Schizosaccharomyces pombe: one gene and its partners. Changing the gene in region 3 together with the main gene of any one other region gives a genetic interaction. Each region holds a gene or a part of one and is shown on either strand. Other genes may lie near its edges.

Region 1 (7,993 bases), on a different chromosome or scaffold from region 3:
AATGATGCTTTTCATCGTGGTATTTATGCAGCAGTTGATACAAAAAAATAATTCTCAATCTTTAACATACTTTGATCATAAGCAATGCAGACAGCCAAAAGGGCGAAGCAAATTGTCCATTTCGAATATTCAATTTCGTATCCCAGCACCCGAATAACGTTTCGGGCTGCAGGAATCAAAGTCTCAGTTTGATTCATCTCCATCGTTTTAAAGGAAGGAGCACGATGAATGAATCAACAAATCCAACTCGTTGGGTATTGGTGAAGGAAAAGTCCTTGTCGGGCTATCGGTCTTATATAGAAAATTACCGACACGCAATTATACGCTCCGAAATGAGATAGATAAATCTGGTACGATGTGAATCTTACAATAAAGTAAAAAAAAAAGAAAAGAAAAATTTAAAGTTATGAAAACTAATACTATAATTTCAAAAGCTTTCTTACTGCAGTAATTAGAAAGGCTTACTAACACTCACTATTATATTGAAAAAACTCGTTACTGGGCAGTCATTTAAGATCAGCTGTTAAACTACCAATCATGAGATGTGCAATCATACATACTATATATAAGCATCGCTTAGCATATCTACACCAAACTTTGTTAAGTGATTGCATGAGAATGCAGTGAATGGTCCGTTATACGAGTAGAGTAGAAGAACATTGGAAGAATTGATAAAATAAAAGTATCATAGGAACGGGATTCGTAGTCCAAGCGATAATCGTATAAAAGGGGATAAAAAAATTTTAGCATGGATCACCAAAATAAATGGAAGATTTGGGACGTAAACTTTCAAAATATGTATCAGTAAATTAAACGACTCTGTCGTCCTCTTCATGCGTTCATAGTCTCTCGCAAAAGTCCATGTAGATAGATTATCGGAGTCAACATGCGATGATGAAAAGTTGAATTAGGCAAAAGAGAGGCTAAAAAGAGAGAAAGAAAGAGATGCAATCAATCTAAATTGCGCTAAAATGAGCATAAAAAGGAATTAATAAAGAACTTCCAATGAAGACAAAAATGGAAGGAAAATGTCCAATGAAGATTTTCAAGTAAATGTTTCATAAAGACGGAGATTCGGAGGGTGATGGGATATTCATGTTTTCATCAGGTTGAGCAAAAGAAGCTGACCACCATCTCAGCGATGAAGGATCAGGCATTATAACATCATCATAAGGTACATAGTTAGGATTCTTGAATTCATCCTTCCGAGAAAGGAAATAGTCCCAGATACAACGAGTATGAGTGCTGACGGATGCTTGAGCTCGTTCCCGTTCAGAGTTGTATAGGAACGAACCGTATTGGCAAGAGTAAAGATGGTAAAGTAGACGGCGTAAAAATCTCTCGTTAAACTCGAAACAATTAGGAAATTGATCCATAATTTGCCAGACGCAATCTAAAAACTGATGAAAGACCGGAGACATCATTTTTTCGGAATGGTCAATTGAGAAGCCACTTAAAGCAGAGCGTACTGTTGAAAAAGTGTATTGTAAAGTCGAACTTGGTGAAGATTGGGGTGGTTCTTCTGAGTATGAGCTGTCGATTGTAAAAATACGTTTACCAGGTAAATGACAACATCTTTCTGCAAACCTATGCCCGAAGGAAAGCCAATCCTTTTCGACGAGAGCAAAAAATCCCTCAATTGTTCTATAGTAAGGATCCAAACACAATTGAGGTAGAGCACATAACTGGGAAGTTCTGTCCCATCCATCTGAGCAATGTACAAGTACATGGGCATGCCTAAAATGAACTGTTTTAACAATAAGAACCGCTCCTTGTAAAATGTTAGCCAAGTGCTTAAGCCAACTTGATCTGTTTAAGAGTTCTATCAATGGAGGTGCCGCACTAATATCTGTATTTTTAAGAGCATTCACAATTTTATTTAAAGAATCCCTCATGACGTGTATGTTATCAATTCCAAGATATATCTTCTTTGCAAAACGGTAGTGATCCATGTTTTCGCTTCCAGCGCCTACGGCAATGTTAGCCATCGCATTAGTAGAAGGCCTCGCATCAACTATAAGATTTTCTTTTCCAGGAATGATTGATGTTGCGAATATAGCTTCAACAAGTTTTTCATCCTGTGCACTTCGATTTTGACGAATACCCACAAGGGGTTGAGAGGCCCGCGTAATTGAAAACTAAATAAATTAGTATTAAAGCCTCTCAAAGTTAGTAAAACTTACAGAATTTTTATGGAGATACGTAAGGGTAGGAAATCGATTTTTAGATCTATATTTGCATCCATAATATATAACACTGTCAGAAATGCTAGCGGGAACGGCTAGAGCTTGCGGATAAGAATGGCACTCAGAGTAATTTTCGTTAATTTTAGTTATCCTCCAATTTCCGCCAGCACCATCAGCTTGGGTGGAATCACCTACTCCCATGCGCCTATATTCATTTTCAAGTAGAAATGATTTCCAAGAAGATGGCAGTTTCTCTTCATCTCCGGAGGGCATATAGTAAAATGCGTATAGCATATTTATTGAATTAATAGACATCAATTCCTGTAAAGTGTCGTATACGTCCATCGCATCCTCCGTGCTTTGAAACCTCCAACAAAAGAACATAAAGTCTCGGCATTGTATACGTATACAAAATGATTTTTCGTTAGAGCAAAGCTTTACATTATTTATCATGGAATATGCCGTCCAAATTTCCTTCCCATTTTCCGAGATTGAAAAAATAGAATGATACGCTGTCAAATGCAATGTTCCGTTCAATTCGTTTCCTTTGTTCACAAACTTCACATTTCCGACCTATTTGTTAATATTTTGATAAAATTAAGTTTTAGATCTAATCGCATTATGCTTACTTTTGCAACTTTGATGTTTTCCATCACACGGAAACTTCTTTTTATAAGCAATTGAATAAAATGAAGCAACCCTCGTACTATCAAGTACTGTGACAAAATATGAGTACAAAGAATTAAATATGTGTTTAGCGCAGAATGTAATTGCGTTCTACTTAGATAGATGAAGGTTTTAAACTATTTACGGTGGTGCTGTCGATTAATGCTGCCAAGTGCATGGCTGTAATCATTGCGGTTATCAAGGCTACAACTTGACATATCATTACCTTGTTTATTAAACAATAGAAAGGACGATTCTGAAAGATGTAGAGGAGTTACACTTATCTTTGGTATATATATGTTTAATAAATTCAACTTTATTAATTTGTGTATCTGACAAAAAAAAACGAGTGCTTGATCAAATAACTCATAAAACCCTAAATATAAAAAAGATAATAAAATAACAATAAAAATAATTAAGTTACAGTTTCATTAACAATTATGCAGCGTAGTCTGCGTTTTCCACAGTCTCGAGTGTCAATAATCTTGTAGCTAGAGTGTCTTTGCCGAAAAACAAAGTGCGGTTCCTCCAATCTTGCGTGCAAGAATCGCAATACCTTTGCATCGAGGGTGGGTATAAATCAAATTCCCTTGCTTTGTCACATCCCAACAGCTCTTGTTGAATGTATTGATATACGGCATCCTCGTGAATTATATATTCGTAATAGTTTAGAGACGCCAAATTTTCCAATATTTTTTTTCTTTTTTCTGCAATATAATTCCGTTTTCGTAACCAGTGACTTTTTTGAGGAGAACTTTTTAAAGCAAATGATTGTAAACTGTAAAAAGATTAGAATAATAATAATAACAAAAAAAAGATAATATAATGTACATGTAATCAACATTTATAATTACATGGTACTACTAACAAACTTACCATTCACTTGGATAAGTGACGTTGGGGTGCAAATAAGTAGGAAGTCCGACTAATAAATCATCAACGTCCTTCATATAAACATAACGAGCAGAAGTTTCAATATTTTTAAACTCATCGAAAACTTGCCCGACAAATTTGTTATTCTGTCGCTCATCCCAGTACTTAGCTCCAAAACAAAACATGAGAGAAAGGTTCAAGATAACCGAACAAGCAAAAATAATAACCAAAAATGAGTGAGAAAATAAATATCTTAGGAAAATGTGGAAGACAGCCCACGGCAGCTTTAGTAGATCAATTGCCAATCCTTGAAGAAAAAGCCACCAATTATTGCGAATAATATCGATAATTGACAGGTTTTTCAATTCACAGTTAAAAGGTATTTTTCTTCGATAAACCATCGATTCATTGTAGTCGCCTACTCTTCCATATTGATTTATTATCGCAATAAGCGGCTGATTTCTTGCTCTTCTAGTTGCCTTTTCCAAAAAGTTGACTTCCGTTTTTATATACTTGATAGCCAGTTTTCTACATTCAGCCTCAATAACCTTTGATATAGCAAAAGGTTTAACGATCCATTCAAGGCCTACAGATATGAGCAATCTAGACTTCTCCCTTCTAAGGTGAGATATAGAAGTTTTTGTCACGATTTTAAAGTAATCTCTATAAGGCAAAGTCCAAGAGTGATGAAGCCATGTCATAATGTATAAATGATAATCATTGCGGACGTCCATTATTTGGCAATCCTCATAGTGGTAAGATTGACATTGACCTTCTTGGTCGTAATTATAAACCTTATAATTGATGTATCGACGACTCAAATTGGTTTTTGGATCTTTTCCCCATGGTAAAAATTCGACATCATCTACTCCATGAAGATTGTAAGCACCAGACAACACGGTGCTTCTATCACCAAAAACAATATGAAACAATGCCTTAGTAGAAACATTGTACACTCGATCAAATACAATATCGTCCAGATGATGAGAACGAACAACTTGGACTGTCTCTTTCGGAAGCATAGCAATCTTGAAGTCCCTGAGGTCTTCCATAAATGAATCATTACTCTCATTCTTATTGATCAAATTAGTTAGCGCTCTACTACTCCTTCCTCTTCGAATAAGGAGATCTTCTTGAGATGGCTGTACCCCATAAGACTTGAGAGCATTATCGTCACCACCCCTTTCAAAGCGTTTTACATCATCATTCAATCTTTTGATACATGACAACAGTTGTATTGAACTGTTTGGTTTATCGGCAATGTAATTGCACAGTAACACATTAAGTCGGTCAGTTAGAGCTTTCGAAGAATCGAGATAGAGACGGAACCTTACAGTCCCAATGTTCTGGATATTCATGTAAAAATAATCACATTTAGTACTAGCAAATTGTTTTACGTTTAAAATGCTAGAAATGGGGAAATGCTCAATGAGGACCAATCCATTGATGTTGTAATATATGTAAATCCCTTTCATAGTGCAATACATTCGACCAGGCATACGTATTTGATCCTCTCTTTTACTACAAACACGGCATACAAATAAAACGGTAGATGCTTCCGATTCACCAAATATACCTCTAAATTCAGCATTCCTCAACTTAAGCTCAGAAGGAAGTTTTTCAATGTGAATTTCTCTAGCTAAACGTTTATAAGAAGGATTTGATAGATCTTCAATGTACACGTTCTGACGCTCTAAAACATGGCCGTAATTGACTGAACCCCAAAAATTTGCCAGTAAGGCGCAAGGAGAATTACCATGAAAAAAGGCTTCCTGGTCCAAAAGGCTGGTTATCGTTTCGTGAGTCAAATTTGTTATCAGTGGTGCATTGACTAGGGTCCATGGAGCAAGCGGATTAAGGAATTTAGCGCCATTTATGGAATTTGAAAGATACTTTGGAGGAGGAACAGTTGAAATTGTGGGAGATCGCATTATAGTTGAAACTTCATAATTGTTTGGACCACATAACAATCGTCCCGAATAAGTACGACGAGGACGATAATTTTTTCCTATTTTCCCCGTAGAGTTTGAGCGCCCATTGACTTGTGGATTTATAATTGATGTAGCTTTAGCAGAAAACGATGGTAAGGTAGGAGACAAGATTCGGTTAGCAGATATCCCGGAATTGATACAGTGTTCTCGAGCGTTATTTATTACGCTGCCCCATTCAAGCATTTCCATGTGAGTTTCGGCTTGCAGAATGTAGCTCACGGACTTCGTTTTTATTTGAAAACAAAATTTCCGATGATTGCTTGGTAAAACAGAAAACTTACACAGAAGGACTCCGATTTTTTCGCTCTCAAAAACACCACCATTGGCATCATTAATAAGATATCCGACATAGCCATTGTCGACAAAAAACCAGTATTTTCTCCAAATTGCTTTGTTATCTGCCTTGCTAGAACTGATATTTCTTAGTAACCACCCTTGACGTTTAGTTGCGTTTGTTTGACATATTTGCTGGGGATCGAAACGATATGCGTCTAAATTAGTTGGTGGCTGTACTCTCTTAAGAATTTCCTTCTCAATTCTATCAAAAACGTTAGATACTATTCTTTTTAGTGAAGGATAAGATTCCTTAAGTTTAGTTTCGTAAGAGAGTAAGCGAATTAGTTGATCATTTATATGCCTATTGGACTCGTGCAGACGATCAGTCAAACGAAACGTTTCAATTGAAAACTTGCAAATGCTTTCAATAACTATGAAATCAATGGATGAGCGAAAGGAGGTAACTCGAACTACGTATTGTAGAGCAACTGTAAAATAACTTTTACGAGCTTCGTATAAAGATTTTGCTTCATCCCGCATTTGCGATAAATCTTTTGAATGTCCAAGAGAAGAATACCTTAAGACTTCCGCATCATACTTGGCTTGCTCGGCTTTAAAGCGATCATTTAATTGAAGCAAAGGCTTAACTTTTGAATCTCGAAATAGATCTAATGGAGCAACAATAAATTTCCGTAAATTTTTAGCTTGTTGAAGTTGCACCATATATGACGACCGAAATAAGTCTTGACCGTGAAGCAAAGCGGTTGTTGCATAATCAGGATCAAAAAATCCTGAAGCAACATTAGAAGGCATAGCATTCAACGACATACTGGCGACAATGGGCTCTATCGCCATTATTGACTCGATAAACTTGTTGCAGCAACATAAGAAATCATGAGACCATTCGTTAAACGCTTTGATTTGATTCCCTAGATAATACATGCTCGCCCTAAAAGACGGAGAATCAATGCTACATTCGTTCAGTAAGACTGGAATAACATGATCCTTTTTTGAAGACGCATTTGCAGGAGCGGCCATGATTTTTCATTTCCTTCTATTAGTTTCCAAAAACTTCAATTCATATAAGAAAGCATTAAGAACGATATGTCCACTCGTCTAAAGGATGATTTTTAAACCGGTATATGCGCTTTCGGCTGTCGGATGCGGCATGTTTGTAGCGGCGTACTTGATGTTTTTGACTTAAGAGTGACGCTGCATTTTTTAACCAAGATGAAGCAATTCGTTATATTAGAATAACGATATTTAAGTACTTCTATTATAAGGTAAACAAATACGAAATAACTGAGTGTTAGAAATTTAATCACAAGGAAAATGTTTCAGCTAGCTAAGGAATTTTTACTTAAAATATATAAGTGAAATGATTCCATCCTTATACATATCATAAATATAAATACATTTACTATTAGAAAAATAAAAGTGCTTTTAATTTTTCGTTTTCTTCTTTTTTAAGTAAAATTTACTAAGAATGAGTTAGCCTTATTACAAAAATTGTGGCACTAATTTGTGAGCATAGTATCTTAATTTATACTTGATGTTTGCACTTAATCTTTTTTAAGTCATTATAAAACAATATACAAATTGAGCACGATCAATAACTGTAATGGTCAGGTTTGGTTGTACTTCAATTGGTATGTAAACAAAATATTTGGTAAAGTGGTTAAATAAATTTTATGAACAGTTAGGAATTATGTATATAGTAAAACAAAAGCATCTCTAAAATTATAAAAAATACCTAGATTTTTCTGTTGTGGGTAAATTACTTGTTACTTTTTTTATTGCCACATCTGGTTGCTATTTGCTTTCAAAATTAATTTTTAAAAAAAAAATTATTATAATGAGTAAAGGGTGCAACCTAGAAACATGTTCAGCTGAGCTTGTTAAAAATATTTGTTATGTTTATAATTTTGAAGTAGTGTATCTTAAGCACTTGCGATAGCGAACTAAATTTTTCTAAATCATTGACATTAGAAATAAAAAAAT
Region 2 (8,454 bases), on a different chromosome or scaffold from region 3:
TGATCTAATTGAACTTTTCCACGACGTAACTTTTCAAACGGAATTAGGGCAGCAACTCGATTTACTTACTGCTCCCGAAGACTCCGTCGATCTTTCGAAGTTTTCTCTTCAAAAGCATTCTTTCATTGTAATTTACAAGACTGCATTTTATTCCTTTTATTTGCCTGTCGCATTGGCAATGCATCTCGCTGGTGTAGCTACTCCTGAGAACTTGAAATGCGCCCAAGACATCCTTATTATCCTTGGTAAATACTTCCAAGTTCAAGATGATTATTTAGATTGCTATGGTGATCCTACGGTAACTGGTAAAATTGGGACTGATATTTTAGACAACAAATGTTCTTGGATTATCAATCTTGCTCTCGCAAAGTGTACTCCTGAACAACGTGTTATTTTGGACGACAATTATGGACGTAAAGATAGCGAAAGCGAAAAGAGAGTTAAAGCTGTTTTTGAGGAACTCAATATCCGTGGTGAATTCGAGAACTATGAGGAATCAGAAGTTTCTGAAATCAAAAAGCTAATTGATGGAGTTGATGAATCAACCGGTTTGAAAAAATCCATATTTACCACTTTCTTAGGAAAGATTTACAAAAGAAATAAGTAAATTTCTTGTTCTATGTTTTTATTCGACTCAAATTGGCAATTGCGCTGTAGATACTTTTTAGAGAATACATCCATTGTTGACAATACCAACTTTTAATATTGAATCATTGTATTGGTAAAGGACCTGCAAAATACTACATAACTTATATCATTAAAAATCCAGTTCTCATGAGGCGTATTAAAATATGTAACAAAAGGTGGTAATACGACTCCAAAATGAATCTTGACACTAGTATATAAAATGCGGTGTATAAAAGATAGCAAAAACAAAATGAATCCCAATTGGCGTTTACGCGTATAAACAGGGAATTTCTAAAGATTACAAATTAAATAAACTTTATTCTCTGCCGCGACCAAATAGTTGTAACATATATAAACATATTCCTTACGAAGGAATTATCTTAAATAATCAGTGGGTTTGTTTTCCGCCGCTAATGCCTCAATCTGACACCATTGCTGTTTTCTAATAATCATAACTTCTTCTTGCTTTATAATGGCCTGTTTATAATCCTCAACAAGTCCATTAAAAAAGTCCGCATCCATATCGACAAAAATTTGTAAAACATTACAAGCAATAGCTTGTATAGTGCTATTCCAATGCTCATTAGCAGTTTTGTAAAGAGAAGGATATATTATAGGGAGAAGGGTTACTACGTTTTGGCTGACAAGACTTGTGAAGTACTCATTGCTCCACAGACATAAGGCACGTTCGGCGACCTGGAAATGCATACTAGATATTGAGCGAGCTAGTTGCTGAAATAAAGGGGACATTATATTAACAAATTCGGAAGGCTCCAAAACTTCAAAGATATCTTCAATTTCATTCAAAAACAGTAATTCTTTAAAGCTGTTTATTCGTGGCCAGTACTTAAGAATGCCAGTCAAGACTGCCTTCGTTAAAGAAGGATCTTTATCGATAAACTGAACAATGCAATACGTAAGTTGGGGATGGTATAAAAAAACAGATTTAGTTTGATGTAAAGGAATAAGCACTTTGGACAAAAATATTTTATGTTCTTCTTTTAAAGGTACAGCAAATCCATTAATAATACTAATAAGTTAGTTTGTAAATCAATTTAGGAACTATAACCATTAATGAAACATACCTTCCAAGTATCTCCAGTAGTTCAGCGATTCCATGAAATTTTTCTCGTTCATAAATGAATTGCAAAAAAACATTATTCATAGACTTTCTAATGTATGACCTAAGGTTCAGAAATTTTCCGTAAATCCTATGTAATGTTGTTTTCAGAAGTTCGCGCTCACGCGGGTCTTCTGTGTCAAATAGTGCTAGCAAGCGATTAAAAAACCTACGATCAACGAGCGATTTTGCTTTACTGGCTCTAAAGTCAGGAGATTCTAGGAACTTAATAAATAATAAATACACCTCTTCCAAGTGAGGCCACGCTGGCTCCAAAAAAGGCTCATCGTCTAAAGCAAACATATCTGATGAATAATCATTAAGAGCAGGTGATATAGGCCGAAATACATTGAGGGAAAACTATAGTGATTAGATTTTTACAGTAATAAAAAGCAGAGGAGTAAACATACTGTATTGACAACATAAGGAAAAAGCGATGCGGAAGAAATACCGCGGTTTTCAGACACATAATCTATCATTTGTAATAAGGCTTCTCTTTTTATTTCTTTGCTAGCCAAATCGGAAGATGGATCATTAAAATCGAAAATAATATTGCATTGTTCAAGCTTCTTTATAAACAGTTCTTCACGTTCAGAGGTATGAACATCTAATTATATTAGCACAAGAATAAAAAAAAGTACATTATTAAAATAAGATATAAGAATCTTACTAAACGTACCATCAAATGAAGGCAACCGAACTAATGTTCTTTTCTCAGATACTTGAAATTGAGAGGAGTGTTCGCGTCGAGGTACTGGTCTAAGACTATGCGGAATGTCAACATTCTCAGCACCTGCTAAAAATTTATTTAAGGGAGTTGGCTGTGAAACTAAATAAGGAGGAGTGGATTGTGGGACAGATAAAAATGAGGCAGAAGATATGGAATCATTAGGAAATTCGTCTATGTTAGACGATACAGAATCCTACAAGTAAGTTAGTATGAAAATAATCATTTTGGTAGAAAATATTAAACTAACCGACGTATACTTACATTTTTTGGTTCTGGATAATTAGGTGGGAAATGGTTGGCGTCTTTAACTTTAGAAGTTTCAATTACGGGCAAAAACGTAGAGTAATCAGAATCCTCATGTCCAGATGCTAGAACCGTCGTATGTATTTTTTTATCAGAATTTTCATGTTTTTCATTATTTGAGTTGGCATGATGATTTCGTTTGTGCTTTAAAGTATCTTTTAGGAAATGACTCTTAAGTTTTTTAAGCTCGTGTTTTGAAGAATGGTGAGTGTCTGTGTGCTTCACGTCGTCAGTTTCCACGTAAGACCCATTTTTAGAGATATAGTGGCTTTTTGAATGACCATTTTTATGTGACCCTTGTTCATCCTTCAACGAAAGTGCTTTTACAAATTTACTCCTTAATCCTTTCATTAAAAGGCAAATGAGATGATTTCCTTGCTCAATTGCAAGTTATAAAGATAGCGAATAACCAAATTTAAAAAACGAATGATTCCTAGGATTGGGACCGAATGTAATTTCGAAACTTAAATGAATGCACCTATTACTGAATATGTAAACGTTGTCTTTCTTCAAAAGAACGTCTGTTAATAAATTTGTACACAATGATGAGTTAGAAAAGGGTAAATTTATGTGGTGGGTAAATAAATGATTTGTTCCTTTCAAGTACTCCGTAAATATGTCTCGGCAAGTCAAAGAGTTAACGGCAACAACCTCGGTAACAGAATTCTGAGCCCCTTTATAAGATGGGTATATAAGCTAAACACCCTAGGGAATAGTTAAGAGGGTTAACCTTGAAACTTCCTGTAATGACAACTTTACTATGAGTTATGTTTGGCAAATGAAGCAAAACGGGGCGAGTGGCTCGAATGTTATGGGACGCTACCGAAGGCTGGTAGTATGAAATAACGTACTTGGGAAATTGGCTGGTACTGTGAATTAACGGATCGGCAAAAATCTTGTGTTATGATGTTACTGTATTGTTGTACGATGTCCGAGGTTTGGAACAACATTATTTTAGCTGCCAAAAAATTAAAATGCTTTTGAAGCAATGATATTGATGTGTATCAATTAATTTTTCATTTGAGGAATAAGTTATCCAGATTATTAATTAAATTACTTTAAAAGCAAATATATATAAAGTCTTTGCCCTACTTTTTCCAGTGTTTTATAGCATACCATATTAGGCATATATCTTATGAATAGTCTAAAAATTTCTGACAATGAATATGCACTCATTGAGCATCCGGGCTTTGCTAATAACAAGGATGCATTTTTTCAGACATTAGGCGGTGTTCAATCAATTCAAAAGGTAAATTGCTAAAAAAGTATAGGAATGACCGGCTTACATCTTTAAGCTTCCCCTTTTATAAAACATGAATTTGATAATCTTTTTTGACCTAATACTAACAATTTCTAGGCATGTCAAACTTCATTTCAAAACCCAAAACAAGCTCTGTTGGAGTTGAATCTAAGGCCTAAAGATAAATACCATCATCCAGTACAAGCTCGAGTGCAATCCAGAAATGACCTATTAGTAACGATTAAAAAAATGGACAACTCTGTGCAAAATGTCAGTAGAATTCGTCAAGTTTTCTTATTCAGAGATATGGCTGATTTCCAGTATAGTACTCAAAATTCACCATTCGTTCAAAAATTAGATTCCACTCTGCGAGTGCTTGACTATAACGCCATTAATAAGTTTTCCATCGATCTAACTCCGGTACAAAGAAAACATGTCGACATGCCTCCTCCTCCTGTTTTCTCTCAGACAAGTCTACCCATGTCTTATAACTTCTTGCAAAATCCACTAGTAGGTCGAGTTCGGCTACCTAATGGGAAAACTACAATAGTCAATCTAAAAGGTCAATGCAGAGTTTGGATTATCACTACAAATATGGGGGTTGAAAGTGTACCTACATGTAGACACTCAAAATTAGGTGAGCCTTCGAAGACAATTCAGGAAGTTATAGAAGCTTTAAAACCTCTTTTTGAAAAACGACCCGTTTGGACGAGAAGAGCCTTATTAAATCATCTAGACCCGTCATATACTCACTATTTGAAATTTGCTCTTCCTTACCTTTCTTATTTATGGACTTCAGGTCCATTTAGAGATACATATACGCGGTTTGGATACGATCCTAGAAAAGATTCTAATGCAGCTGCTTACCAAGCTTTGTTCTTTAAACTCAAGCTAAATGGAAAACATAAAGGGACTAAAACTCACGTGTTTGATGGCAAGACTTTGTTTCCCACTAATCGTGTTTATCAAGTGTGCGATATCGTAGATCCCACAATTGCACCACTACTGAAAGATACTCAGTTACGTTCTGAATGTCATCGGGACACAGGATGGTATAGAAGCGGTCGTTACTATAAGGTTAGAGATCTTATGCGTGAAAAACTCTTTGCGCTGATCGAAGGAGAAATGCCTTCTGAAGTCGCGGTGAATATGATTTTAAACGCCGAAGAGGTAGAGGAATCTGACAGATATTCGAATTTTGATGAACAGGATAATACAGATTTAAATGATACTGTTAGAGGTTTGAATACTTCAGCAACAGATGATCGGATAAATGATTTAATGAGGAATTTAATGAAGAGAAGTCAAGAACATGAAGGCTTTGAGGATTTAGAGGAAATTGATGATGACTACGATGATATATTTGGTGATTGAACCCCCCCCCATGTCAAGGTACTTCGATACAAAAAATTATACTCAACTTAAATTTCATTATATTCTTTTTTGTTTAACTGACCATGGTAAATGGCTTGTAAAACATAACTTATGAGTAGGTTTCAACTATCAATTGTTTCTGATCTTTAATTCTCATTTTTTAATTCTGAAGTAGCTCGCTTGATTTTGTGGTTACAAATGTCAATAATTTTATCAGATGTTTAATCTTACAGCTGCTTAGTGGTGCGCTAGTCGATTGCCCCCGGATGAACCAAACAATAATACTACGCTGCATAGCGCAATTTAAAGTACATATTTTTTCCTGACTTGTTAGTACATAAACTGAGCCAACCTATTTGGCGAGGTTGTAATTGTATCTCCATTCTACTATTTCAATAGTACTTTTGGAGTTTGTATCATTTTAGACGAAAATGTTGGTTTATTATGGTGGATCTGCCTTGAGCGTTCAGAGTAAAAAAAAAATTTTGGAACTAACAGTTTCTGGAGTTTCTGATCTAAATGCTGTTTATTTCTACTTGATCTATACTAAGTCCAATTCTTCTTTAAATTGCGAAAGTCTGCGACCAATTTTGTCTGATTTGCAAGAATCTGAATTCAAGCCTGATGGAACAACGATGGTATATGTGTTTCCACGTCCAGGAACAATTTCTCCTTGGTCATCCAAAGCAACGAACATTGCCAATGTTTGTGGATATAAAGATGTGATTCGTATAGAGAGAGGTATTGCCTATTCAGTAGTTTTTAAAGATGACATTTCAGAAGAGATGCTTAAATCTGCTTTGAATCATCTTTATGATCGCATGACTGAAGCTTTAAGATTTAAACTTCCGGAAGAGGATGAAGTTTTTGATAAGCACGAACCAGCTCCACTTGTGAGAATAGAGCTTAACTGTGGGCAAGGTGGTGACAAGCAGGCTGCAACCGAGCGATTGAATCATGCCAATAAGAAGTTTGGATTAGCTTTGGCACCTGATGAAATTGATTATTTGGTTGAGTGCTATACCTCAGAGCCTAGTTTAAAGAGTCGTGAGCCTACAGACGTCGAACTTTTCATGTTTGGTCAAGTTAACTCAGAGCACTGTCGTCATAAAATTTTCAATGCTGATTGGACTATTGATGGCGAAAAGAAAGACTACAGTCTATTTAAAATGATTAGAAATACCCATTTAAAAAATCCCCAATATACAATTTCTGCTTATTCTGACAACGCCGCTGTCTTTGAGGGAAATTCGGGAACGTTGTTTGCTCCAGTCAATGGTATCTGGTCAATGAAGGATGAACCGGTTGAGTTTCTTGGTAAAGTTGAAACACACAATCATCCTACCGCTGTTTCTCCTTTTCCTGGTGCCGCTACCGGATCAGGTGGCGAAATTCGTGATGAAGGAGCTGTCGGGCAAGGCTCTTTATCCAAAGCGGGACTTGCCGGTTATAGCGTTTCAGACTTAAACATTCCTGGTTACAAGCAACCTTGGGAGTTGGATGTTGGAAAACCTTATCACATTGCTACTTCTCTTGATATTATGCTTGAGGCTCCAATTGGCAGTTCGGCTTTCAATAATGAATTTGGACGTCCTTGTATCAATGGCTATTTCCGCACATTTTGTATGGAAGTTCCACGCGGCGATGGAACTCTTGAGATACGTGGTTATCATAAGCCAATTATGGCCGCTGGTGGTATTGGCCGTATTCGCAAGCAGCATGCTTTCAAAAAAAGTATTGCACCTGGTAGTCCTATTATTGTTCTAGGAGGTCCTGCTTTATTAGTTGGTTTGGGTGGAGGAGCAGCATCCAGTATGAATGCTGGTGAAGGCTCTGAGGAACTAGATTTTGCATCTGTTCAACGTGGTAACCCTGAAATGCAGCGTCGTGCCCAAATGGTTATTGATGCTTGTACAACTATGGACGAGAATATAATTCAGTCAATTCACGATGTCGGTGCTGGTGGTGTATCCAATGCTTTGCCAGAATTGGTTCATGATGCTGGTTTGGGTGCCCGGTTTGAATTACGCGATATCCCTTGTATTGAACCTAGTATGTCCCCTATGCAAATTTGGTGTTGTGAGTCGCAAGAGCGTTACGTTTTATCAGTTAAATCAGAAGACCTGGATACTTTTAAATCCATTTGTGAAAGAGAACGATGCCCTTATGGAGTTGTTGGTTACTCTACTGTAGAGCAACGTTTGATTTTGACCGATAGACTTTACAATACTACTCCAATTGATTTGCCTATGGAAGTACTGTTTGGCAAGCCTCCCAAGATGTCTCGAGTAGCTGAAACTCAAACAATTCCCTTATCTAAATTTGATTCTTCTTTGAAGTCATATCTGGCGCCATCGAGTGACCCAATTCTTGATGCTGTGGAACGCGTATTAAGAATGCCTGCTGTTGCGTCTAAATCCTTCCTCATCACCATCGGAGATCGGAGTGTCACTGGTCTGATTGCTCGTGATCAAATGGTTGGTCCTTGGCAAGTACCTGTAGCCGACGTTGGCGTAACCGTCACGTCCTATGGAAAGGGAATTAACACTGGTGAAGCCCTCGCAATGGGTGAAAAGCCAATCAGTGCGTTAGTATCCGCTGCTGCCTCCGCTAGAATGGCTGTCGCTGAATGTATTATGAACCTTGTAGCAGCATCTATTCCTGCTTTAGATCGTATTCGTCTTAGCGCCAACTGGATGGCAGCTCCTTCGCATCCTGGAGAAGGTGCAAAACTTTATGAAGCAGTGCAAGCGATAGGCTTAGAACTGTGCCCATCACTTGGTATTAGCATTCCTGTGGGTAAAGATTCAATGTCCATGAGTATGAAATGGAATGAAGACGGTAGGGAGAAATCCGTAACTGCACCTCTTTCACTTATAATTACTGGCTTCTCTCCTGTTGATGATCTTTATTCCATTTGGACTCCGCAATTACGTAAAGTTGAGGACATCGGATCCACCTCATTGATTTTTATTGATTTAGCAAATGGAAAACAACGTTTAGGCGGTTCTATACTTGCTCAGTCCTATAAGCAGTTGGGTGATGAGGTGCCGGATCTTG
Region 3 (6,989 bases):
CGTTAAGTAAGTATTTGATTTACGTTTAAATAAATTTAATATGTTACCGCGGTAACTCGCGACACGTAAACAAAGCGACTTTGCTCCTCCCACCTTGCTCGACGACTCTCACCACCTCAGCGTGTTCCCAAAGCTAGGAATTTATTGTTTATGTTATTCATGGCTGTTTTTATATTCTATTGAAATAATATAAAATGCTAAAATTATCATTTAGGTCGCTGACAAGCCGCCTCCCCAGACTTTCTACTTTAGTCGTCCGTGGTTACGCGTCAGTAGCAAATACGGGCATTGAAGCTTCTAATACATCAGAAAATAATTTGAATATCCAAGAACAGTTGAATGATAACGATAAAAAGCGACTTAAACAAATTCGAAATATTGGAATATCTGCCCATATTGATTCCGGCAAGACTACCTTTACTGAAAGAGTTTTGTACTATACAGGAAGGATAAAAGACATTCATGAAGTCAGAGGAAAGGATAATGTCGGAGCAAAAATGGATTTCATGGAACTTGAACGGGAAAAAGGAATTACCATTCAATCGGCTGCTACCCATTGCACTTGGGAACGTACTGTGGATCAGATTGAAGCTAACGAAAAACAAAAAACTGACTTTGAGAAAAGTTATAACATTAATATTATTGATACACCTGGTCACATTGATTTTACCATTGAGGTGGAGCGTGCCTTACGTGTGCTAGATGGTGCAGTGTTGGTACTCTGTGCTGTCTCCGGTGTTCAATCGCAAACTATCACAGTTGATCGACAAATGCGCCGCTACAATGTCCCCAGGATCTCTTTTGTTAACAAAATGGATCGTATGGGTGCAGATCCGTGGAAGGTCATTCAGCAAATAAACACAAAATTGAAAATTCCCGCTGCAGCTGTTCAAATTCCTATAGGTCAAGAAGACAAACTTGAAGGTGTGGTTGATCTTATACAAATGCGTGCAATTTATAATCGTGGGTCGAAGGGTGAGAAAATCGAAATTTCTCAGCAGGTTCCTGAGAATCTTATTGAACTAGCAAAAGAAAAGCGCTCAGCTTTAATTGAAAAGCTTGCCGATTTAGACGAAGAAATTGCTGATATATACGTAATGGAAGAAGACCCTACACCTGAGCAGCTTATGGGAGCTATTCGTAGAACTACACTTGCAAGGAAGTTTACACCTGTATTAATGGGTTCTGCCTTGTCCAATGTTGGAGTTCAATCTGTTTTGGATGCTGTTTGCGACTACCTACCCAACCCTTCTGAGGTCGAAAATATAGCTTTGAATGCAGCAGACTCAGAAAAGCCAGTATCCCTTGTTCCTAGCAGTGAGAAGCCGCTTGTCGCTCTTGCTTTCAAACTCGAGGAGGGAAGGTTTGGCCAGCTCACCTATTTGCGAATTTATCAAGGTACACTCAAGCGGGGTAATTACATTTACAATGTCAATTCTACAAAAAAAATAAAAGTTTCACGCCTCGTTCGTATGCATTCCAATGATATGGAAGAAATCGAAAAGGTTGAAGCTGGAGGGATTTGTGCGTTATTTGGTATCGAATGCGCTTCTGGAGACACCTTCACGGACGGTTCCGTATCGTATACTATGACTTCAATGTTTGTACCAGAACCCGTAATTTCACTTTCTTTAAAACCGAAGAGCAAAGATACAACCAGTTTTTCTAAGGCTTTGAATCGCTTTCAGCGTGAAGATCCCACTTTTCGTGTGCAGTTGGATAATGAATCGAAAGAAACCATCATTAGTGGTATGGGTGAACTTCATTTGGAAGTTTATGTCGAACGTATGCGTCGTGAGTACAAGGTTGACTGTGAAACGGGTAAACCAAGAGTTGCATTCCGGGAAACTCTTTCCAAAAAGGTACCTTTCAGCTACCTGCACAAAAAACAATCTGGTGGAGCCGGTCAATATGCAAAAGTAGAAGGGTACATTGAATACATGGATGGTGTGGAAGACGAATCTGGAAACGTTGTTGATTGTGAATTTATCAACAAAGTTACCGGTGGAACAGTCCCTACGCAGTATATTCCAGCTTGTGAAAAAGCTTTTTACGAAGCATTGAAAAAAGGATTTCTCATTGGTCATCCTATAAAAAATTGCAGGTTCGTTTTAGAAGATGGTGCTTATCATCCCGTTGATTCCTCTGAATTGGCATTTCGTTTAGCCACCATTTCTGCTTTCCGTACAGCTTTCTTGCAAGCGAACCCAATGGTTTTGGAACCAATTATGAACGTAAGCATAACGGCGCCTGTTGAACATCAAGGTGGTGTAATTGGTAATCTTGATAAGCGTAAGGCGACTATTGTCGATAGCGATACAGACGAAGATGAGTTTACGTTGCAGGCGGAGGTCCCTTTGAACAGCATGTTTTCTTATTCCTCGGATATACGAGCCTTGACTAAAGGCAAGGGTGAGTTTAGCATGGAGTTTCTCAAATATCTTCCAGCACCAAAATATGTGCAGAAGGAACTTGTTGACGCGTACAACAAACAACAACAAAAATAATTTTTGAAGTCCGTTTTAAATGAAGCAACAGCAAAGTTTTTGGTAACCAGTCATTTCTATTTAAAAAAAAAAATTTTGATCCACTCTCCTCTTTACTAACGCAGCAATCTACATGCAAATAAAAAAAATAAATACCCAGATTATTACCATACAAGTAATGTACAATTTTTTTTGTGCAAGATAGTTCATGGAACAGAGAATGAGTATATTAAAGAATATGAAGAGTAAATTATAGACCAACTTATAAAGGCTGAGCTCTTAACGGAGACATTTTGGCCAGAACATACATTTGAATTCCAATAACTTGTTTTCAAATAGTGCTTTTTTCTTTTTCCTTCTTTCTTTCCATATTTTTGTTATTGGTTTGGAAAAAAAAGGGAGTAGGAATAGGATGATAGATAATATGAATAGGAAAAAAGTATGACTTTCAATATAAAGGTAAGGACAGTGATAAAGCAAGCCCCCTTTATGGAGTCTATTACTGAATTTGATTTATGAATGAGTTCTAAGGATTATTGTATAAAATAGGAATTTTAGTTTCAAAGAAAGAAAAAGATAAGAAAACGTAAAACATCAGATGCAAGAAAGAAACAGGAAAAAAAGAATAAAGGCACATACGAACATCTTTTTTTAAAACAATTTATAGCACTCCAAGTTCTTTTTGGGCTTGAATACGCAATTCCTCATCAGCGGCTTCATACAGAATTTTTTCGGTTTGCCAACGTTGCGAAATAGAATCAATGTCCTTGGGAATATTATCAATTATGCTGTGAATTTTTTCGTTTTCAATTATTTCATTGCAAGTTTGGAATATAAACTGATTCCATCCAGGCTGCAATGAATTGGCAGTTTTGGCAATATCCATCAACTCCAATTCAGTTTCCTTTTCCAAACGACCAAACTTACGAATTAGCTCGTCACCAACGCCGCCGCGGTTGAGCAAATTATTCAATGCCATTCTCGATACTTTAAGCTTCATCAATCGACGAAGACCTTCTGTAGCCCGTAAAACGAGAGCAGCTTTCAAAAGTGTATCCTCGGCAGGTGGATTCTGCTGCAAAAGACTGAAAAATATATTTCTAGAATAATTTTCTCCAAACCATTCTTCTGATACTGGTTTTGATTCCTGATTTTTGGATTTTCGCACAAAACGAGAAACTCCATACATAGAGCCCATTAAAATGGTAATATATATCAAGGGAACGTAAATCGACACCATATTGAATTAATTAACACGGCCAAGTATGTAAAGCAAGCAGGGACCTTTTTCTTTAACAACTCGTATACCCTTTTTGTATTATTTGTTTTTTGCAGAGTGGACTGCAAATATGTATATGAGATATAACTTCGAGACCAAATGAATGCAAGACCAGTTTAGGTGTGAAAGGAGAATAGTGTGTTTTCTGGAATGCTTTATATTTTATAAGGTTGATGTAATTTTCTGTTATTTGTAGATAAGAGATATTTATGTTTTCTTAAAGACGCTAAAATATTTTACGCGATGCGCTATTAGATAAACAAATCGATCGGATATTGTTCAATTGTTTGTTTAAACTCAGGTAAAAGTTTTTAGAATTAGAAATGAAAAAAATTTACTAATAGGGAACTAGGATAATAAACAATTGAGCATTTTAGAAACAGATTTTGCGACCATTGTGAAAACTGACGAAACATATAGTTAGGAAGACAAAAACACCTCATTTATGAAATTATTTCTTTTTTTCAAGTATACAAAGGATCTTTGTATGTTCTTCTATATTGTTTCTGTAGTTTTATTAGTATTTTTACATATCGAGGCATTGGCATTCATTTGTTTTATTTACAGCCAATTAATAAATTCCCTTATTTTGATATAAGCTTTACAGTCTCGCTTAACTTGAAAACGCTATGATGTTGTGTATTCAGTTACAATAAATAGTGACATACAATAGTCGCTCAAATATATCTGGTTATATTTTATATTAAATAATTTTGCCAACTGATTTATCTTGGGTTGATTTTTCTTATTCGTGAGATTTAGATAGCCGTTCATGATGTTTTTCTGCATACAATGCATATTAGTGGAAAATGCGTTCGATTTCCTTATACTCATACAATCCTTTAGACCGTCGAAAGCGGAGTGGTATCACTTTGGTATAAAAAGGTAGTCTTAATTAACCTACCACTAACGTATATTTTCATTAACAAAAAAAAAGTTTATTATCATTATTCAAGATGGCTAAAAGATCCATATTTCGTTTTGCTGATGAAAAGGGCTTGAAGGTCGCTGCCCGTTATGGAGTCCTTATGTCAACTAGTTTTATTTTTGCTTTACTTTTCCACAGCGTATGTTCCAATCAAATTTCTATTTTATTCTAAGATTATTCATTTGAAAATCAACTTTCATTTGATATCAATTTCGTTTAGCTTTTGGAGACAAAGGGAGCAGAATATGAGAAATTATAAGTCGGTACTTTGAGTGAATTCTGAATTTGTTTTACAAAACATGCATTGTTAAAATAAATCTGGAAAATTATTTTATCAGGAACGTTTCTAAAAAGGAGCTTTTTGTCTGTTTAAGTTTTCATAATCGGATACGAGCATTCATCTTACCGCTCAATGTTTGCCGCGCTGCTCATTTTTCTGTTGTTCTTATGTTTTTGGAGCTTCACTTCGAATTGATTACTTTGTTCATAGTCTTTATTTTCTTAGCATAAATTACTAATGTCATTTAGAGCGTTGCCGATGTGAATACCTTATGGAGTCCTGGCCCTGAGTCTGCTTTCGATGCTGCTGAAACTTACTATACTTTGGTGGCTGGATCCCATTTCATTGTAAAATATACTGTATATACCATCATGGGACTTAATATGATTTTCCATCTTATTCAAGCCACTGGCGCTAAAGGTGATGACAAATTGTTCTTTTACTCTAGCACGCTTCTTTATCTTACTGCACTAATTTTGTTTATTGTTAATGTTGCTCCTTCTATGTTGGTTGTTAAGCTACAGAATTATGTTCAATTCCCACGAAATATGCACTTGTCCGTTCTTGCTGCTTCTCATGTTCTTGTTGAATTTCTTCTTGCTGGTGTCATTCTTATTCAACTTGGATACGTTTTCGGATATCATGTTCAAAGTATCCAGCAGCGCGAATACGCTGAAGATATGAGGGAGCAAGAATTAGCTGAAAAGGCTAAATTGGAATCCGAGTCTGCTACTACTCAGAGTGTAGAAACTGTTTCCACCGAATCTGTTTCAAAGCGCAAGTAAACAAACCACTTGGGTCTAATTTTACAACTTTTGGAATAGAGTGAACTATTTTATATCTTGCTAATTATTGTTGCTAGTCCGTCATCAACTCTTTGACGCAAAGTTTATGTCTAACTAGAAAGCAAAGAGTGACTTGCATTGACGGTAACTGGGAAAGCTTACATGTGTATTCATACGTACAATTATATATATACAAGATTTATACTGTCTTATATAAGAAATAAATTGACTTGAATTTTCGATAGAGGAATAGTTCGTTATGTTTGGATTTAGAATAGTCTTTAGCACACTTATACTTCTTAATAATTAAATATGTACTCATTGTGCAAAAAGGATTATCACAAGTGAAGCTTTTGTGAGATTGTATATTCTTCTATACTATGGATGCATAAACAAAGTCTCATTTTAGATGGGTTTTACGCTGCAGATACAGCAGAAGCGCCATACAAATATACTAAGTAAAATCTCAAAGTTCAAATGCTCAATCGATTTATTGTGCTAATTATCGATGTTTAATTCACTTTTTAACAACTAATAAATAGGTAACAATGTTACTTGTTCGTATAGCTTACTTGACTGCATAGCATCAGAATGATAATTGTAACTAGCTTCAGCGAATTTGGTAAGTTGGACTAGTTGGTTAGTTATTACCTTTTTTTTCTTTCTTCTGTGTTTCTCTAATCTCAACCCTACTGTAGACGGTAACTTTTTCAATTCATTCGTTCGGGTCATTTTTTGATCAAAATGTTGCAACTTTTCATTTATAGCCCAGGACTTGGGCAACCAACGATGGATCCTGGATGCTTAGCGGCATTAATTTATTGCGCACTTGCCGTCCCAAAGGACGAAATTGAAATTCTTCGCACTGCAAATTCAGGTATGAGCCCTACCCATAAGCTACCAGCTTTGTGGGATGGTCATGTTTGGATTGGATCTTTGAAAAACATTTTAATATACTTGAAACAGAAGGGCTATAATTTGGATAATTTTGATGCGAAACAGCTGGCCAATGTTATGGCCTTCACCAGTTTATTGGAAGGTTCCGTCAATGACCTTTGGTTATTAGAAGCCTTTGTTAATGAGGAAAATTTTGTTGAAGCAATAAGACCTGCTTGGTCAAAGGCACTTAAATTTCCTCATAATTATTTGACACCCAATGCTTTGCAACGGCAAGCAAAAGAACGCTTGGCTCAAACACTTGGTATTCGCGACGAAGAAGTCTCTTATGAAG
Region 4 (6,992 bases), on a different chromosome or scaffold from region 3:
AATATTATGAATGACCCTAATATTGCCAACATGGCCCGTAACTTTCAATCTGGAGGAGGTATGCCTGACTTGAGTTCTCTTGCCAATAACCCCCAACTGCAAAATTTGGCTCGCAATTTTATGAACAATAACAATAATGGCAACACTGATAACAATAACCAAGGAAATCCTCCCCCTCAATAAAGTATAGGTGTATATTGATTTGTTTGTTTTTGCTTTTCATTCAAGCAGTTTATATCTTGCATTTAAATTCATTTTGAATACTTGAAGAATTGCTTTGACATTTTTTAGTACCTTGCATATACAATCATTCTGCTAATCAATCATATTGTACATGTTTGTTAAGATTACCGTATTTACAGTAGCGTTTGCATCGTTTTTCGTATTATTTTTAAATAGTTCATCTAATTTTTATTGATAATTTTACAATAGCTTTCGTTGTATGAAAATAAGGACTTCATTAAACAATTCTTTTGAAATAATTCAATCCCCTTGACCCATCTCTTCTGTGCTTTCTTCTGCAGGTTCCGTCTCTGAGTTTGTTGATGTAAACAAGCTTCCAAAAAATGAACGTAGTCGGGTCATCACCGGAGTTCCATCTTCTGATTCTTCACCAACCTCCGATTCAATCTGTTGTAGCAATTGTTCAGCAGGAGGAAGATCAAACTCATGAGCAGGGGGTTCTTCCTCATTTTCATTAACTTCTCTTGCTCTGGATAAATAATCGGACAAGAACGACGCAATTCGACGAGATATATCTCTACCAAAGACTTGTGACTCGCTTAAATATGTATCAGGAGGTAGAGGATCAAAGGATAAAATAGTTCCTTGCAAGATTCTCTGTGGTAGAAATTTTCTCAAGCTTTGCTCATTTAACAGGATAACACGCCTAGAGAGATTTTCAGTGAGTTCTGCGAATTGTCCTTCTACATCGTGCAGGGTCACGGTTTCTTTTTCAAGAATGGAATTAATGAATGCTAATACCGTAGGATCAGACCAGCTATCCTTAGCATATAAAGCATACATAGCAGAATGTAACTCTTGAACTGGATCTTGAGGGGATGGAATAGAGGATTTTGTGAAAGAGATATTCAAAGTGTCCAACAATTCACTTAGCATGTAAGGTGCACGTTCAAAGGCGGCAAGCATACTCGCTCGTGTGTCGGTAGTATCACCATGTACGTAAAACATGGCAAGTGCTGACGAATATAACATATTTGGCGTGTCCGAAATTTTGTTTGAATTTTCCAGGTAATTCGCAAAATCAATTATCCAAGCAAATTCTCTTCGACGAAGTGCATATATATCAATACAAGTACCAATTGCGTAGGGGTCTGACATGTCGAACTGCAGTAAAGCTTTACAAAACTCAAAGACGGTTCTCCAACAACCCCGGCTTTGTAGACTTTGTAAATATCTCCAAATACAGAGGAAAAGACGCCGATTAGAAGGGATGGCAAAAGGAAGCCGCGTGGCACCAGTTGCAAGATTAAATCTAGGATGAAGAATACTGTCGAAAGCATAAAGACCGCGGGCAACAAGCTCTGCTGACAGTTCATGATCGCCCTGCTGATCTATTATTTCAGAAACTTGTAATAACGTGTCTATATGAAAAGGATGGGAGCGTAAAAGCATAAGTAGGTTATTAGGGTCATAGGTTTGCACGTAATACTCGAATGTCTCTTGAACTTCCTGGTAAGCACGACTCTGAGTGATTTCAAAAAAGCACTCTAAGTCTTGTGACTGACCGGTAAGTTTCATTCCAAGTCCAGATCTTACTAAAGGAGGCCATCCTTCTTGAGGCTGTACTAAAACATGGCGTTTCCTCCGCAGGTTATCATGTCGAGCGTTGACCGAACGTTTCTCAACGATGCGGCCAAAAATCTTACGTATTTCAAGATCAGGATTTAACATACTAATATTTACACCCAATAACTTATTCAATTTTTCATCAAGTTCTTTATCTAACGGGATAGTAGCAGATTCTTCGACACCAGCAACATGCTCAACCTGATCTTGCTCACGATATTTAAGTTTTAATTCAGCAGCAGCCTTTTCTATTTCATCAATATCATCATCAATGTTTTTGCTTGATTCAAGTCCCTCCAATTTCTCATTATCAGAAGATTGATTATCTAAATCACGCTTTCCAGTGACTTTCTTCTTCTTCTGCTGCTTTTTCTTTTTCTTTTTATTTTTTGCTTTCTTATTTGTAGAGACAATTGGAGACTCGCCTTCTACTAATGGTTCATCCTGCTCTTCCTCAGAAACACTTTTTTCTGCCTCTGAGTTAATAGCATTATTTTCTTTTTCGAGAATTTCGAACACGTTTACTACTTTTTTCCCGGAAGTTGAAGAAAACTCGTCATCCTCATCAGATTCACTGTCTAAAGCTTCTTCCAATAGCTCGGTTTGTCTTTGACGCTGAAGTTTCCGTAAAGCTCGTGAAGACATGAGAATGGTTTGTGGTAGACTAGAATGGCAGATGTAAGAATTTAACTCAGACCTATGAAAACACACCTCAATTTCAAGAACTTTTCGGTATGCTAAATTAATATATAACATACAGAAAATATTTCATTTTAAGACTGTTAGCAGTGAAGAATATTACGTTTCGTAGTTAAAAGGCGTTAAGGAAAATACAAGCCGGGAGCAACAATGATGTACAGAATATGTAATTAAAATCTAAGTAATAGAATTTTGCAATTGTGGGGTGGTAAACCGTTTTTACATATTTGTGGTTCATGGTTTATTGGAATTTTTGCTGATCGCAATAGGTTATCAGCCAAATGAAAATTAGAGGGGTTATTAATACAAAAAACTGTTAATGCAAATTTAGTATTAAAGTGAGAATAACGACCGTGTTACCTTTTTGTATGCCTATATTACCAGAATATATTATAAAGTAGTAAATAAATCAAATTAGTATTACCAGAGAAAGGAAAACATATTACTTTTTTAACATACGCCAATAATTCTTTTCTTCTTCTCCGGTAATTAGCTCAGCAATCAGGAATGGACGGCTAGATCCCTTTTTCCTATGTGCCCGAATATCATCATGACTGTTTTGTTTCCTTTCTTGTGTACGAAACGCGTTGATACACGTCTCAGCATGAAGCGGTGTTTTCCAACGTATTATCGCCTCTGTTTCGTCCTTCCTATAGTCTATATACATGGGCTCACATGCAATATTCTGAGTTTGCCGCGAAAAAACATAACTCAAGAGGCTGTGAATAGTAGATTTATTAGTTAAAGGATGGAGGTTCTTGATACGGGTCAAAAGATTCTTGGTAAAATCCAAATTATCTTCATCTTTATCAGTTTGTGAGGTTTTGGATACAGACTTGGTCATTTGTTTTTCTACTTTAGTAAGTTTGGGATAACGATTTTCAGGAAAGGAATTGGATGAATTTGAAACGTCTGAAGATGACGCTTTTACTAAATGGAGTTGATTTTCAAAATATTTTTCTTCACGATTTGTCCATTCTTTACGAGTCAACAGTACCCATCCAGGAGGGACAGGCAACTTGCTAAGTGCTGATTGATCAACCTTTTTGTACAAAATTACAAAAGCATAACCTTCAGGAGTACCGATAGCATCAACATAGGGAAGGAACTCTTTGAGGTATTTGCGAAGTTTCCCAGCCAAAAGTAAACTTTTATTAGACAGAGTAGCCGGAACTGGTTCAACGTAAATAATTCTATCATACAGTGGTATGTCAAGAGGAAGAACAATATTCTCATTTCTAATAACCATGTGTGAGGAATTATCGAAATGAAACAGCGCATTAGTAACATAAGATAAAGCATACTTCAAGTTATTTTGCGTTGGATTCGGGCGGATTCCTTTCCAGAAATCATCTTGCTGGATTAAAAAGGCCAAGTGCACTTTTTCTTTTTGCCTTTCTCGGTGAAAATAAATTTCTAATATAGAATCAACGGCTGATAAAAAGTCAGGATTTAACGGTTCAATAAGCTGTCTATCTTGTTGATTTAACATGAGTCCTCCGCTTATGGAATGACTTGGTTCTTTGCTGGCTTCATTATGTTTGTAATGCTCATCTTTCAATTTGTTGTTATTTCCATCTGCAATAGAATTATTTTCCTTCCCTGTAAATGCTTTAATTTTGCGAACATTCAGTTGCCTTGGCACAAACATTTTACTTCGCTCCTTAAAGTACGGTTTTCTAGTATCAATTAAAGTGAAGTCATTAATAATAAATAGAATTAGGTGCTCTTAATTAAAAAAAAAAGGGTTGTAAATTTTTGTTCTGCTTTCTCCCAATTTATGTTGAATGCGTAGGTGAAGAATAACTCGCGCTTGCCCAGCACCCACGACCTTGTCTTTCCAATTGTGGTTTTTAGACAAAAGCCCTTGGAAAGATGTCCAAAAGAAAGGAATTTGATGAAGATGCACCTGTAGACCCATCCGTAAGCCTTGAATTTACGATTTTTTATAAGGGCCTACTTTCTAACCAATGTCAGGATTTACTGGAGTTTATTAACTTGGGAGCCGGAAATGAAGTTGGTCGCAGTTGCCATGTTATTCAATACAAAGGGAAAACAGTAATGGTATTTTAATTTTTATTTTGTTATGATTGTGAATGCTAATTTTTGCTAGCTCGATGCCGGTGTTCACCCTGCGTATACTGGGCTTTCAGCTCTTCCTTTTTTTGATGAGTTTGATTTGAGCACTGTAGATGTACTTTTAATTAGCCAGTAAGTCCCTTTTGTACCACTACTTGAGACGACCATAGGTTATTAGATTAGAGTACTTCTTGTACCAATTACTATTATGGTCCCTTAGGCATTGATTCATTTTTTTTTGAAAAGTATTTCTAACTTAAGCAAGCTTCCATTTGGATCATGTAGCCTCGCTTCCCTATGTTATGCAAAAGACGAACTTTAGAGGTCGTGTCTTCATGACTCATCCTACAAAGGCAGTTTGCAAGTGGCTTTTATCTGACTACGTGAAAGTGAGGTATGTATTCTTAGCTCTGAGTATTCATTAACAACTCGCAGTAATGTAGGCATGGAAGATCAGCTTTACGATGAGAAAGATTTGTTAGCCGCTTTTGATAGAATCGAGGCTGTTGACTACCATTCAACTATAGAAGTTGAGGGTATAAAGTTTACACCCTATCATGCGGGCCATGTTTTGGGTGCCTGTATGTATTTTGTGGAAATGGCTGGAGTCAATATTTTATTTACAGGCGACTACTCACGAGAAGAAGATCGCCATTTGCATGTCGCTGAGGTTCCTCCTAAAAGACCAGATGTGCTGATCACAGAATCCACGTATGGTACAGCATCTCACCAACCAAGACTGGAGAAGGAGGCTAGACTGTTAAATATTATTCATTCCACTATTCGCAATGGAGGGAGAGTTTTGATGCCTGTCTTTGCTCTTGGAAGAGCTCAGGAGTTATTACTCATTCTCGATGAATATTGGAATAATCATCTCGATCTTCGCTCAGTCCCTATCTATTATGCATCATCGCTAGCGAGAAAGTGTATGGCCATTTTTCAAACTTATGTTAACATGATGAATGATAATATTCGAAAAATTTTTGCCGAACGAAATCCGTTCATCTTTCGTTTTGTCAAAAGTCTAAGAAATTTAGAAAAATTCGATGATATTGGCCCTTCTGTAATATTGGCAAGTCCTGGTATGCTACAAAATGGTGTTTCAAGAACCCTCTTAGAAAGATGGGCTCCTGACCCTCGAAATACGTTACTTCTTACTGGTTATTCTGTTGAAGGGACAATGGCAAAGCAAATTACAAATGAGCCTATTGAAATTGTGTCACTTTCAGGCCAAAAGATTCCTAGAAGAATGGCAGTGGAGGAACTTTCTTTTGCGGCTCATGTTGATTATCTTCAAAACAGTGAATTCATTGACCTGGTAAATGCCGATCACATTGTATGTTTAGTTACTAATGTAACGTTAAAATTAACTAATTATAGATTTTGGTGCATGGTGAGCAAACAAATATGGGTCGATTAAAAAGTGCTCTAGCCAGCAAATTTCACAATAGAAAAGTCGATGTCAAAGTATATACCCCTCGAAATTGCGTACCGTTATATCTTCCTTTCAAAGGGGAACGGTTAGTGAGAGCTTTGGGAAAGGTCGCTGTTCATAAACCAAAAGAAGGCGACATTATGAGTGGAATTTTAATTCAAAAGGATGCCAATTATAAATTGATGTCAGCTGAAGATCTTCGAGATTTCAGTGACCTTACTACCACCGTTTTAACCCAAAAACAAGTCATTCCATTTTTTTCGAGTATGGAGCTTGCAAATTTCCATTTAAAACAAATGTTTGGATATGTCAAACAGTCAAAAACAAAGGCAGGACAACCTCAATATACAGTAATGGACGCCATTACTTTGACTTTAATCCAAGAACATAAGCTTGCTCTTGAATGGGTTGGCAACATTATGAATGATACAATAGCTGATTCAGTAATTACTATTCTACTAGGCATTGAAAGCAGTCCTGCTTCTGTCAAGTGTAAGTCTGCGTTTAATGTGGAACAATTTCTAACCATTAATAGTGACGAGCCATAAATGTAACCATTTGCATTCGCATTTAGATAAGCCTCCAAAAGTATCAAAGGAGGAAGATCGTATTAAAAAGCTGATGATGTTTTTGGACAACCAATTTGGCGAAAGTATGACTAAAACGGAAAAGGGGGTTGAAATCAAATTTGAAAAATATGAAGCGTCTATTGATTTTTCGACTATGAAAGTTGAATGTTCAAATGAAGCGTTACGATCTAGAGTCGTACATGTTTTATCCCGTGCGATCAATACTATCCTTCCATTTTCTGAAGCTTCACAAAACGACGTCTCCGAAGATGATTTTGAAAATGAAGAATCTGACGATGATAAAATCTTTGAGCAGCAAACGAAAATAGAAGATGATGTTAAAAATGAAAATAAGACAGAACCAGTTGAAGAACAGAAAAGCGAAGAAAAGAATGAACAGC

What was found.
Region 1: mutations in shr3 (region 3) and ymr1 together harm fitness more than expected from each alone (negative genetic interaction), as found in Schizosaccharomyces pombe (one large-scale study listed by BioGRID).
Region 2: mutations in shr3 (region 3) and par2 together harm fitness less than expected from each alone (positive genetic interaction), as found in Schizosaccharomyces pombe (one large-scale study listed by BioGRID).
Region 4: mutations in shr3 (region 3) and pof8 together harm fitness more than expected from each alone (negative genetic interaction), as found in Schizosaccharomyces pombe (one large-scale study listed by BioGRID).

What each region holds. Positions count from the first base shown.
Region 1 is NC_003424.3:2,481,908-2,489,900, forward strand, and holds ymr1 (myotubularin family phosphatidylinositol-3-phosphatase), read right to left. Parts: upstream 3,010-7,993; 5' UTR 2,840-3,009; coding exon 2,816-2,839; intron 2,760-2,815; coding exon 2,184-2,759; intron 2,139-2,183; coding exon 1,059-2,138; 3' UTR 501-1,058; downstream 1-500. Other genes in the region: C-22 sterol desaturase Erg5, read right to left, coding at 71-203; ltc2 (BAR and PH domain-containing protein), read right to left, coding at 3,291-3,630, 3,729-7,030.
Region 2 is NC_003424.3:1,330,605-1,339,058, reverse strand, and holds par2 (serine/threonine protein phosphatase PP2A regulatory subunit B-56 Par2), read right to left. Parts: upstream 3,557-8,454; 5' UTR 3,132-3,556; coding exon 2,739-3,131; intron 2,671-2,738; coding exon 2,427-2,670; intron 2,355-2,426; coding exon 2,158-2,354; intron 2,108-2,157; coding exon 1,713-2,107; intron 1,658-1,712; coding exon 1,003-1,657; 3' UTR 657-1,002; downstream 1-656. Other genes in the region: geranyltranstransferase Fps1, read left to right, coding at 1-607; transcription factor TFIIIC subunit Sfc1, read left to right, coding at 3,916-4,029, 4,138-5,394; phosphoribosylformylglycinamidine synthase Ade3, read left to right, coding at 5,826-8,454. UniProt on the Schizosaccharomyces pombe protein: The B regulatory subunit might modulate substrate selectivity and catalytic activity, and might also direct the localization of the catalytic enzyme to a particular subcellular compartment. Has a role in cell shape control and septum formation.
Region 3 is NC_003423.3:1,173,598-1,180,586, reverse strand, and holds shr3 (chaperone protein Shr3), read left to right. Parts: upstream 1-4,673; 5' UTR 4,674-4,721; coding exon 4,722-4,832; intron 4,833-5,221; coding exon 5,222-5,758; 3' UTR 5,759-6,107; downstream 6,108-6,989. Other genes in the region: mef1 (mitochondrial translation elongation factor G), read left to right, coding at 195-2,507; translocation subcomplex subunit Sec66, read right to left, coding at 3,148-3,726; mtx1 (metaxin 1), read left to right, coding at 6,503-6,989. UniProt on the Schizosaccharomyces pombe protein: Involved in amino acid permease processing and required for the efficient translocation of structurally related amino acid permeases from the endoplasmic reticulum to the plasma membrane.
Region 4 is NC_003424.3:3,621,036-3,628,027, reverse strand, and holds pof8 (LARP7 family RNA-binding protein Pof8/Lar7), read right to left. Parts: upstream 4,306-6,992; 5' UTR 4,160-4,305; coding exon 2,951-4,159; 3' UTR 2,657-2,950; downstream 1-2,656. Other genes in the region: SGT2 family TPR repeat-containing protein, read left to right, coding at 1-183; protein Rqc1, read right to left, coding at 484-2,454; cleavage and polyadenylation specificity factor complex endoribonuclease subunit Ysh1, read left to right, coding at 4,384-4,431, 4,486-4,572, 4,622-4,719, 4,853-4,981, 5,023-5,923, 5,968-6,514, 6,558-6,992. UniProt on the Schizosaccharomyces pombe protein: RNA-binding protein required for assembly of the holoenzyme telomerase ribonucleoprotein (RNP) complex. Specifically binds telomerase RNA ter1 and promotes assembly of ter1 with catalytic subunit trt1.